Neodiprion lecontei: one gene and its partner. Each later gene encodes a partner of the first gene's protein in a complex. Links are inferred from orthologs where the notes say so. Each region holds a gene or a part of one and is shown on either strand. Other genes may lie near its edges.

Region 1 (6,449 bases):
TAGGTTATGTACACATCACCTGCATGTTGTTTTCCCAACGCCTCCTTTTCCGCCGACGAATATCCATCTCAACGATCGTTGATCAATCACGTTTCGCACGGACGCTTCCAGCGGCTCAAATTCGACATTCGCAGCCATATTTTTCAATCTCTGATTAACTCAAAAATCGAAATGTCACCCGTCACGACAAACTAATTTCGCAGTTTCGCTGCTTGCGCTCAAGCGTCACGCTCTGCGCCAATCTTTCACAGCTGATGCTAATGACAGTTGTTCCCAACTTGTGCTCAACTGTTACAGTGATAAACACAGATGCTCAAACAATGATGCAATCAATATATCTATGCTTTTACGAATCCTGTATTGCGTTTGAATTCATGTCAAACAAGTTTTATTGAAGAATGAAACCTTATTAGCCATTGTACAATGACGGTATCATTCCATTTTATGAGTTACGAAGCCGTGAGATTCATTGACCGAAAGCTAATTCCGCTATATTTTACAATTCATCCCTGGCTAAAATGACCGTCCCGATTGCGAATTGAGTTCCTTGAGACACTGTACTGGAACTAAATAAAAGAAAAATAATGCATTTCGACTTTTACTCGGATAGCCAAAAACTCGCTCCACATTTTGAAATCATAAAATTGAAAATACATCTAAATCTACCTCCACTACAGTACGATTAAAGTTCGTTGTGAACTCGACCCATCTCTGGACTTTGAGCGAAATTCGACATAACACAGCTAGGTATTATAATATCATTCAGGTATATTCATCAAAATAAATGCGGTTTCAACCGCGACACTTGCAAACACAAATTGAATCGTGAACTAAAATTACGCGTCTAAGTTACAAAATGTTAACATTGTGAATTTTTTAAAAAGTAGAATGCGATTTTAGCACGGCATTTTTTTTTTTCATCAAATCAAATGCGTCATCGCGCCTGCAGGTTTGTCTCTCCGAATATCCCCTGAGTTGCCATGGAAACGGGCGGTAGGTATAAGACTGTAAACAATACAATACATAACGCACCCGCATATCGAATGGTTTAAAAATGTTTTTCATACACGATCCGTTTGTTCGTTATTTATTTTTCTCCGTTATTTTAGAAAATATTTTCCAAGTAAACACGTATCCGAACGGGGAGTTGTTTCAATACGTTACTCCTAGTATGTGCAAAAGAGGGGAATATTTCAACGTTGGATCATTAATTTGCACAGCTTGTGACACGACGAAGAACCTCGAACCCTCCAAAGACCGCAAGTTTAATTTATTGCCTAATTTATTGATATTTTAGGGAGCATGGTGTAATTTCTTCATTTTTGTTTTATTATATACTATCAATTATTTGTACTTTCAATAAATTAAAATGATGTGTAAACTTTTTCCAACTTATACTTTCGACCTGTCTCATTCATTGTATAAAATACAGTTAATAAATGAATCTGAAAAAAGTTGTAAAATTTTGAATTCACCATTACAGGACTTGATTGTGTTTGCAATAAACAAAGTAGGTTTGTCAATTTTGAAAATGGTAATCCGACCTGTGAGCCGTGTGGCCCTGACAGGATTCCCACAATTGACGGACTGGACTGCGTTCCATGTTCTGATGCTAGTACTAATAGTAGCTGCGAATGTTCGCTGACTGAAGTCAGATGTGAGAAACTGTTTTACCTCTTTGTGTATAGTATAAAGAACAACTGAATATTGAGAACATAAAATTACGTCGATATTTTTAGTGGAACGAGACATTAATGGGACTCTTTTGAATAACGTAAGATGCATTCCATGTCCAGAGAACTCCTATCCATCGCCAGATGGAACGAGTTGCATACCGTGTAGAAAAAAATCATTCAGGAGTCACATCAATTGCCCCTGCCCATTAGTTTCACATTTGAAAATCAAAGAGTACTGTATTAAGAAAAATGGGATAATGGAATGGCCTGATGTGAGAAGTACGTACTTAGTCAAATACGAAAGCCAACATATCGACAGTTATTACTTTAGAAATGAGCTACAACTAGCCGTTTACCTGTGTAAAGTAAGTATTCACTGATCGGTATTCTTGGTATTGCTTTCTCGGAGGAATGCGAAAAAATTCACACAATAGCATGGAGTGAAGATTCTCCCAAAGATTCGAAAGATGAACAATTTAAAATTGAACCAGCGGTGCATAAATAACTTCATTTGTAATAATTATTGAAATTCATCACACTAGAATTTTGTATTTGTTTTCAGAATGGAAACAAAACAGCTTGCGAGCATATGGCAAATATGTGCACCCTGACTTTATTTACATCTTTGATACCATGTAAATTATTTTGGGATAAACATAACTCTCCTTTATGGCTGTACTATGGAGAAGGTGAAGCCCCAACAGTTCTCAATCGTAAAAAAATTTCACAGCAGTATAGTCTGGATGTAGAGAGTAATGTACGTAGAGAATGAAACGAAATTGTATGAAAAAAAACTCATTTGTTGGCACTATGTCGTTAATGACTTTTTTTTATTTCACCACAGAGTAGCAGGTTGAATATTACATTTGCCACATTTTCAATGAATGGACAATATCAATCGATCTCAGCACCAACTTTAATCTGCGACTTGTTCAAAAATATCAGATTTGGTATTAATATTGAAAAGTCGTGTGCAACAACTGCCAAAATACTCAATGATATAAGAATGGAGTTTTTTGAACCATATCTTGGATACAGAGAGGGCGACAAAATGATTTTATACGCACTGCCGGTTCTGATAAGAAATACAAATAAGGTGAGATGGTTAAGACATTTTTCATAATTAAGGATAAAGGCAGCAAAAAATGCCCAAGTCTCTTCTTCATCTTTGCGGCACTGTTTAGGATGAAATTGATGCTTCTCGATGGCAACTGGTAAGGAGATTTTTCTTTACTGATACTATAGCTGGCATTAAAGCCTTGCCAACGTCGTTAGGCACTGCTTTTAAGAGAGAAGAATATCCAACTGTTGTGAGATATGCTAAATCTATTAATATTTTGTGAGTATTGCCTCGTTTTTTGAAAATGTGTGTGCTGTGTTGCAAAAATTTACTGTCATATACTGAGTAATTTTTTTCAATCATTCAGAATCAAAGTGCAGAATAAAGAAGAGAAGGGAAAAATATTCCCACCGTTACTTATGATAGAATATGGTGAATTGCTAAACGAACATGTGCGTCAAAACGTTGAGGTGCAAATTAGCTATAAAATCACTTACATATTGGCAGATAACGACATGTACAATGCCATAGAGGTAAACAAGTTTATTTTCAAGTAATAACGAACGCACAATTTTGTTTGCCTAAAATAATCTTTAATTAATCACTCGAGCACATCATTCATTCTTCTGATCAAATTTTTATGCATTTCAGGTGTCTACAGGCGTTTTGTCGAGTTTAGCAGTTGCTTTTGCCGCAATCAAGGCATGGAGCCATTGTAAACGAAATGGCAGTGAAGTTCCAAATACCTCCACGTTTTTCTGGTTTTTTATATTTTGCTGCGGTTTACTAGGAAACGTATTTATATTCGTAGTTTTCTGCGCCAGTGCTTACATGTTCATCTTTTTTAAAGGGCAGACCGTGATGCATGTTTTATTACCGAGCGAGGCCAACGAGGAGACTGTCAGAATATTCGTGATCGTTGCATTCTCTTTAAAAGTGAATAATGATATATTTTCATTCTTTACAAATCTGTCTGACAATTTTGAAAGGTTACTGCACCAATTATGTTTGCAGCTTGTTGAGATAATGGGACTCGTCTATCAGATTAGAAACATTGACATGTTTTTCATTGATTGGGAACAACCGAGGTCTGTTCAAAGCCAACCAAAGTACGATTCACCTCGTACATCTCTAAAGAAATTGTACGCTAATAGATTCTCTGGTGAAAAACGTAGCTCACCAAAAACACCATCAGAAATAATATCAGCTAGTAGAAACAAAACACCGCACAAATTGAGTAGCATTAATACCCCGAGCAGGCGATCAAGACTCTCGATTCAGAGTGATTTAAACGATTCGAATCTCCCCAATCAATCAGGTGGAGATATTTTCTCTATGGGAGATACTGCTGATCGTACCGATCAAAAAAAATTGCCAGTTAGTATTTGGCGAACTTATTTCATCGCTAATGAATGGTACAAAATTCAAACAATCAGAAAAGTAAATATGCTTGTACAAGGCATTGCAACACTGTTCATTTTAGAGGTCAGTAAAATTTATATGAGCTTTTTGGTAAAAATTGTTGCACGAATTGTTAAATAAATTATGTACAACATTTTATTCCCACAGGTTGTTAATGTTAAATTCTGGGCACGTTCAGATCCAGAACTTAGCATTCGTGCTGTAGAGTCAACTTTGCAGGAAAGAGAAAGCTTTACGCTAAAATTTGCTGTTGGTACCTTAGTATATATGTTTGTATACCTTGTACAATGGCTGACAATGGTTATATTTTATAACAGATACGTCAAGAATCATATCAAAGAATTCATTGACTTATGTTCAATGGCAAATATCAGTATATTTATTCTTTCTCAGAACCATTACGGATATTATATTCATGGAAGGTATGGTTCATCAATTTGTTACAAAATTCATACTTGTGTGAATACAAAGTTGATGGTTAGAACTTATTTTTCTGATTTAGCAACTGAACTTTTCATAAAGTATTCAACTTTCAGATCAGTCCACGGATTTGCAGATACTGATCTAGCTACTTTGATCAGCGACCTAAAACAAGAAGAAGAAAATTTGTGCGCACACAGAGGACTTCTACCCGGTACTACAGAGCAAAGCTTTGTAATATCAGTGTCAGCAACTTTCAGAAACTTTTATGATAAAATCATGAACCCAATCAAATTGGTAGGAGTTATAAAGGATTCAGAATGTTATAATTTTGTTTTTCTTTTAATTTTGTTTTATCGCAATCTTCGAGGAGAATTCTAATATAAAGAGAACATTGTATATTCTCTGTTGCAGGAAGAGAGCAGATTTCTTAGAAGTGACATAATTTCAACGTCAAATTTGGAAAGAAACATTCAAACATATCAGAAGATGAAACAATTCCTGACCCAATTTATAGATCACTGTTTCAAAGACTTGGAATACACTGTTAGAGATAAGCAATTCCTTGAAAAACTTTTAGACATTGAATTCAGAGAAGGAGTCGAAAAATCAATTTTCTATGTTGGTAAGAAGCTTGATTGTTCACAATATTGGGGAATTATTATTTTGCAACACAAAATATAAAATGCTTTCTCCTTTTCAGACAACAACCATTCCTTTGATCGTGCCATGTTCTATGGGAACGAATGGATGTTAGTAACTTTTGAAATTACCTTATTCAACTTTATGGAAGCCCTATTTGAGGACTACACTTTGGCGATAATAGTCACAGTATTCGCGTCACAGCTGTTAATTATCTGTTGCAAGTTTAATGGTAAGAAAAATTTAGCTCAGAAAACGTTGATCGATGAAAGATTTTTACTATGATTTAAGAAAATGAGCCAAAGTAATTTTATGCGGACAAGAAACTAAGTTTTCCAGGGTGCCTAAGTAGAAGCCCAGAAGTATGTCCATACTACCTAGAGTCCAGAATATAATTAAGATCTTTGTAGCTCTAGAATAATTGGTAACCCTGTTTAATGGGACTATCATTTGTCATTTGCTTTTATATGAGTATAAATATAAGAAAACCAGAAATGGACGAGGTAAAACGATTTTAAGGTCGTATTTACGAAGGTATCAGGATGATTGAGAAAATCGTGAGGTCACTGTTATACATGTACCGCTCATGTATTCTAATTACTGCTTCTACAAATACAAACTAATATTAAGTTAAATGTCATTGATTTATATGACATCAAAGAAAGACTGGATAAAGTGTGGCAAGTATTGTTCAAAAGTAAATAATGGGGAATATAATATGCAGATATATTGAAAACATGTCTATTGGTACAAAATAAAATCCTCCTAAAACAATAATCACACTGTTCGCTGTATATATTTTCTTGATTCATGTTAAGTTAAGTCTAATAGAAATAGTTCGAATAATAGGAATTTTAGTTACTGTATTTATTATATCACAAACTACACTTGTATCATCACCATCATTTCATTTATTATATCAACAGTGTGAACTGGAAAGAAATTTAATGATGACCACCATGTTCTCCACTATGTGCATCATGGTCATGGCTATGGCCATGGCCATATTCAATTCCCAGAGCTTTTTCAAGTCCTATTGTTAAGAGAAACAATGGAATACCCAATTTGAGGCCACATGTCGCGTACCGGAAGCCACGCCCCCAAAATGTTCCCCACTTTGTTACGTCGTAACGCCAAACTTCATTCCGCAGCCAAGGATCTCTTAAACCTTCCTTTGCCAATTTTTCTTGAACGCGTAGCAGTTCAGGTGCATTTTCTAGTTTGTATAT
Region 2 (5,903 bases), on another chromosome or scaffold:
TTCCTTGTTTTTCAGTGCGGTCAATGCGGAAAACGGCGAAGTCAACAAAATCAAGAACCAGCTTACGGGAGAGTGGGGAGCTGTTCCCGATGTTGCTCGACATTATAAAAAGAATGGCGTCAGATGGGTAACTATCGGCGATGAAAACTACGGCGAAGGTTCGTCTCGGGAACACGCTGCTCTTGAGCCCAGACATCTTGGAGGACGTGCCATAATTGTGAAGAGTTTTGCTAGGATCCACGAAACCAATTTGAAAAAGCAGGGTATGCTTCCATTGACTTTCGCTGACCCAAGTGATTACGACAAAATCCAACCAACTGACAAGATCAACCTCCTTGGTCTCAAGGATTTAGCTCCTGGAAAGGTTCGTTGATAAAGTTGTTTGACCTAAACGCAAAAATTATATTTCAGATTTGATTCTATTTCCCAGATGAGATCAGTAATTAACACATCTGATTCAGTGCTTGTGATTATTTGTCTTGTTTTTTGATTTGTTTTAGCCTATCAAGGCAGAAATCAAACACAAAGACGGAAAGGTTGACACCATCACTTTGAATCACACGTTCAATGAGCAGCAGATTGGTTGGTTCAAAGCAGGCTCAGCGTTGAACCGTATGAAGGAAGTAGCCCTAGGAAAGTAGAGGGTTAAACGAAACTGAAGAAACGAAGGATGAAGATGTCGAATTGAGAAGTCGAACAATGCCAAAAATGTCAACTAGCAGTAAGCTAGTATGTCACATGTATTGAATTTTCGAAAGCAAATAGGGAAAATTTACGAAATCGTTCGTAGACAGGGAATTTTAGTTCCGATAGAAATTTGATTTTTGAAGCGGCAGTTACGCGTACAGACGGTAGATATTTAGGAAATAGAACAATGCAAATATAAGGTAGTATTCATTACGAGAACTGAAATTTAAGGGAGCTAATTATCACTAAGAATCATGCGATATTAGAGAAATTTTATAATCGGGCTAAAGTTGCATACTTTTTTTTATGCATGTACGATGTACAATAAGTAATGAAACTTCCCTTCAATTGACAAAATTATTGTACGTATTATTGATTATGGATGTGTATATTCAAACTCGAATCAAGACTAGACTCAAATCTAAAATCGGTAGCTACTTTTTAGTCTCACTTCAACGATGCTATTCTGCGTCTTTATAATCCATTGCCAATCATTCAAGTCTGATTTTGCCAACTGAATAAAAGATGAATCGTAAAGACCAGTGCTCCTTGGGTCAGTTCTGTATAAAAAAAAAAAATTGTATATTAAGCAAGTCGGTGATTTAATCTGAATAATAATGCCCATTAGTACATTAATAACTGTTACTTAGGATATCATTTACACAGTAATACTTATTGTATATATTATTCTCTGTATCGATCGATTAAAAAGCAAAAGCTGTCATTTTTAACAGTTTTTGCCGTGTTAATAAAGTTTTACCTAGTATGCGTTAGTAGTTTGAAGTCGAAATTTTTCATTGAACAATTTTGTGGCTACTTCAATACCGATCGTATATTTTAGTAGAGTACTGCAAGTTTATATCCAAAAATAATCATTTTAATAAAAGTTTCACTGGGTTCTTACATTACTTTTAATTCGATCGTTAAATTTATGAAATAAATCAGTTCACCGGGAAAAGTGAAGAGCTATTGTCACTGAGTACCTAACAAAATTTTGATAATTCGTAATGAAAAGCTTGAATTGTCATTTGGTGTAGAATATAAGCGCCTAGCACAATTATCTTTGAAACCACAAATGTATCGCAAGTTGCTTGTCCAAACTTCATCAGGCGTTTTACCCGTTAATCGTCGAAACGCGCGGATATCGTCATGACAACGCAGAATGACGAAATTCACAACAAATAGTAAAGCGAACGCGTAAAAGCAAACCTTTGGTAGTCGATAGAGAAAATATCATCTGATCTGACGGAGAAGTAATTTATATCCATGTCAGTCGAGGGTGAATTTTTCTTATCAGTGACAGGATCGATCGAGTACGCAAACTTCTATGACATTGATAACGTGTATTGCAAATATGGATACCACTTTGGACCGGACTGGAGCATCGTCAGGGTATACACATCACACATTATTGGTTTACTTTCTTATCTGTGTTTTTTTTTTATTTCAATATTCCGACCGCTTGGTTAATTTTCTCAGTACTAACAATTCCATTTCTCACGGAAAAATTGTAAAAATGGTTTTTGTTTTATCCACTATCGTAATTGTACCAATACTTGGCAAAAGTTTCAATTATTATCTACCGTTGCTCAGTTATTAATTTGCAAATTTCTACGCGCTCAATCCAGCGACGACGGCAAAATCATTTATTTATTATCACGCGAGTTATTCAACGATGGAGATAATTTATACATTCCTCAAATACTTGATTTGCATTTTACCTGCAGCTGCCGTGTAACAAGAAGTGATTCGCGTGTTCACATCAGTCGGTAACATTCTGTTAGATATTTTAAGAGTATAAAGTAAGTTGATAAAAACTGATAACGTAAAAGTTACTGATCTGATTTCCGATTTGCGCTAATCATAAACTTCTGTGGGGAGAATTTTTTTTCCATCAATAATCGATGTACATGTCGATGAACGTACCGCGAAATGATTCTTGATTATTCCTGGGTGTTATAGCCATAAAATTTAAGTGCCCAATTAATTACGGGCTAGATGATAAATTTATTTTATATTCAAATGTTAGGCTTCGCGTACAGCACAAGATCCTGCTTGCCTTTAGTCATGTCATTCAAATAACCGCTTTCCAAGCTTTTAATAACGCTACATGTTATAACATACATAATACGGACGGCTTGGTCGATTTTTGCAGAAATTTATTCACCCACTTAATCTTGATAGTTTCAAATAATCTTGATGGAAGGAAAGGAGTTTGGTATACTTTTCTTTTATTGTTATATTCCTCTTGTTTTCTTCCGCTCTCGAAAGAATTACCCATACAGCTCATAACCACATCGAAGTATAGATATCACTTAAGGTTATTAAATTTCGTTGAAAGAATTTCGTCTCTATGAGTAACCAAAGTATTCACCCGCGGTTATACCGCGGCATAAATTGAATGGGAAAATATTCACAACCGGGGATTGAACGCACGTGCTCTTATCGCTCTCGAGATTGGATCATGAGGTAGCTGGTTGTGAGAATTCGTGACTACAATTGAAACGCTGGGAAGAAAAACGTGACAAAAAGCTTTCGTAGGGTATCATCCTCAAAGTTTCCTCTACAGTACATGTAAAACAGGGGTGTATCGCACCGATAATTTTCATTTCTACGATCTCCTCTCAATAACAATTCCGCCGATTTGAATAATATACAGTATGTCGCATGTAGAATTGTAAACCAAAATTTTTCAACTCCACAGGGAATCGAAGAGGGGCTTACGCAAATGAGTAAAAAAAGCACCGACGCTCGCCAGGTTGCTGTTTGGAACTTTCCTCTCGATATTGCGTTCAAGAGTATCAATCCCCAGGGATGTAGGTATAGCTGTAAAACTCATATAAAATTACAAAATAGAAATTAAAAAAAAAAATACAACCGAACAACCACCCTTTACAATGTTTGCCAAGTTTCAAAATGTTTTGACTACAATTAGTATACGTAGAATTTAAAAGATTAAATACTAGACGTAACAATATTCTTATCGCAGCAATTAGCGTGATTACCCGTATCACGATAAGATATCAGACGTTCTCGACATTGAATTTTTTTTTTTTTTTTTACATTTTCGAATAGCAAAATACATCGATTGCACTTACTAAATACCATTTTCCATCTGTTTTAGGGCCTCAGTTGATTCTGTCAGTTTACGGTTTGGACTGTTTTGGTCATGATGTGGTTAGAGGCTACGGAGTTTGTCACTTGCCACTCGCGACTGGCACGCACACAAAAAAGTACTTCAATTTTATCCACATTTTTCAGACGCCCGCTTATATTTGAGTGGAATTGCATCATAGTCGTTCAACTGTCGCGATCGAACCGTGGAATAAAAATTTACACAGCAATTAATTCGGACGTTTACTTTTCAATTTCTGCGAAGCGAGAAACGTCCTTTTGATAAGGCACGTCAGCCGTGCGACTTGCAGAGGCAGTTCAAGAATGACGTGACCCCATTTTTTTCCACTTACCCACTTTGCCCTCGAATATCAGATCTCTTCTCGTTTCCCTTAAGCTTCAATTTTTCTTTAACATGCATAAATAAACGATACGCTTCAATTTGGTGGAAAAAATTGTAGATAATATTTAAAAGTGACCGCTTAATTTTCTGCGCAATCGATAAAAAAAAATAAATAAACAAACAAATAAATAAGTGAACATTAGAATTTACAGCCACTTTTGGCAAGGTATGTAATCAGTTTCATTAGCGCAAACGTTTCGTTTTCAGGGTGGCTGTGTATGTTCCGCAATCTTCTTCGATATTGCAACAATTTATTGCCTGGTTCTCCGGAAGGAGACCGGAACTAATAGATCCAACGATACTCGCAACTGGCGGAGGGCGAGAGCGTAAGAACCATTCGAATACCCAACATCCACAGCTTACACGACACACGACACATTTATTTTCGCACATCGCTTGCCTCGGTTTCTTACCGCGATATAACGCATAAAGCTGAGCGATACTTTTATTTCGTGAGGAAACTCGCGGTCGTCAATGTACATTTTATTCTTCACCAGACTTCACGAACAATATTCGACGTGAACAGAGCTTGGTACAATAATGCTAGAGCTCGTCTTTGGCAAATTTAAAATGCACCTACTGTAATATTAATATTTCCAATTCAGCGCAGTTTTAAATTTGAAAAATTTAGGGATATTATTTTTTCAGTGACGAGGATGATTTCCCAAGGAACTATTACAGTGCGTTTTAACGTATCGATGAAGGATTTTTTTAAACTGGGTTACAGCAACGGCCAGCAGGCGGATAGGTAACACTATACTTTATCGAAACCCTTGAATAAATATTATGCTTTGTATGTTTATTGCCAAAACCCTATATGTACACGTATGCACGTGCGCATGTATTGTATGTTTATATTACAAATAAATAACCTGTAATTAGATGAACCGTATTTATGATATCTCCAGCACATCTGTATACGTCGAGGTATACGTACATCATACGCGGCCTATTCGCAGGTAAATTAGGCATTATATTATGGAATTTATACTAATGGAATCTGCCGGTATTCAAACGTAACGTATTGTCAATTAATATATCCACTTAAGCGTATTTCTCTGTACCGTGCTTTATTATCATAAAAATACTGTTACGGCGTTCATTCAGCAAGTTCCTGATGGCGAACGCATTTGACACTCCTCGCATTACAATATTTATTAAACACATGTTTCAAAAATTTGTTTTAAAACAGTTGCACTTTGCCCGTAAGAATCACTATACTTTTCTATTTTTGCAACACGGTATTTTTTTTTTCCTTTTTCTCCACAGTTTTATCGCACTTTTCGTAGATATTAATATTGCCGGTTATATTATTGGAAAACAATTAGGACCGGATTATTTTACCACCCTGATCGTATACGGTATAACGACTAATATTTGCCGAGCGTCTTTCTTAAGTAAATAATTGTAGACTAATTCTCAACGAAAGCGCTCTCGGTGAACTTTTCTTCTGAGGTATTTACATATAATGCCTGAATTCTGAGGGACCTGGAACAGAGAAATGAGAGAAATTTATTCAGATGTTAGTCCATTGATTGAAATATTATCAGAACCTTATTCGTCCAACTGTGCAACCCAATTCGTTTTCAATTGGTAATTTTGGCGCGTGTTGAATTCTCGGGGACGGTATAACGAGAAAAAGGTCGAGAACGAAAGTTTCGAATTCAATCTTTAATCATTCCCTCGTCGCCGTGCTGGT

The links. The genes of interacting proteins can lie anywhere in the genome.
Region 2: meckelin (region 1) and B9 domain-containing protein 1-like share a complex: the UniProt entries of both Homo sapiens proteins name them as parts of the tectonic-like complex. The link is inferred for Neodiprion lecontei from reciprocal best matches to the Homo sapiens genes TMEM67 and B9D1.

Annotation. Positions count from the first base shown.
Region 1 is NC_060260.1:37,172,288-37,178,736, reverse strand, and holds meckelin, read left to right. Parts: upstream 1-1,522; 5' UTR 1,523-1,657; intron 1,658-1,739; 5' UTR 1,740-1,933; coding exon 1,934-2,041; intron 2,042-2,238; coding exon 2,239-2,433; intron 2,434-2,520; coding exon 2,521-2,772; intron 2,773-2,860; coding exon 2,861-3,015; intron 3,016-3,103; coding exon 3,104-3,269; intron 3,270-3,387; coding exon 3,388-3,672; intron 3,673-3,750; coding exon 3,751-4,221; intron 4,222-4,305; coding exon 4,306-4,580; intron 4,581-4,694; coding exon 4,695-4,875; intron 4,876-4,992; coding exon 4,993-5,203; intron 5,204-5,281; coding exon 5,282-5,505; 3' UTR 5,506-5,931; downstream 5,932-6,449. Other genes in the region: ATPase ASNA1 homolog, read right to left, coding at 20-138; NADH dehydrogenase [ubiquinone] 1 beta subcomplex subunit 3, read right to left, coding at 6,165-6,449. UniProt on the Homo sapiens protein: Required for ciliary structure and function. Part of the tectonic-like complex which is required for tissue-specific ciliogenesis and may regulate ciliary membrane composition.
Region 2 is NC_060261.1:40,677,968-40,683,870, reverse strand, and holds B9 domain-containing protein 1-like, read left to right. Parts: upstream 1-1,947; 5' UTR 1,948-1,953; coding exon 1,954-2,079; exon of another isoform or gene 2,080-3,391; coding exon 3,392-3,503; coding exon of another isoform or gene 3,504-3,507; exon of another isoform or gene 3,508-3,811; coding exon 3,812-3,920; exon of another isoform or gene 3,921-4,411; coding exon 4,412-4,530; exon of another isoform or gene 4,531-4,835; coding exon of another isoform or gene 4,836-4,852; coding exon 4,853-4,956; 3' UTR 4,957-5,366; downstream 5,367-5,903. Other genes in the region: aconitate hydratase, mitochondrial, read left to right, coding at 16-364, 501-641. UniProt on the Homo sapiens protein: Component of the tectonic-like complex, a complex localized at the transition zone of primary cilia and acting as a barrier that prevents diffusion of transmembrane proteins between the cilia and plasma membranes.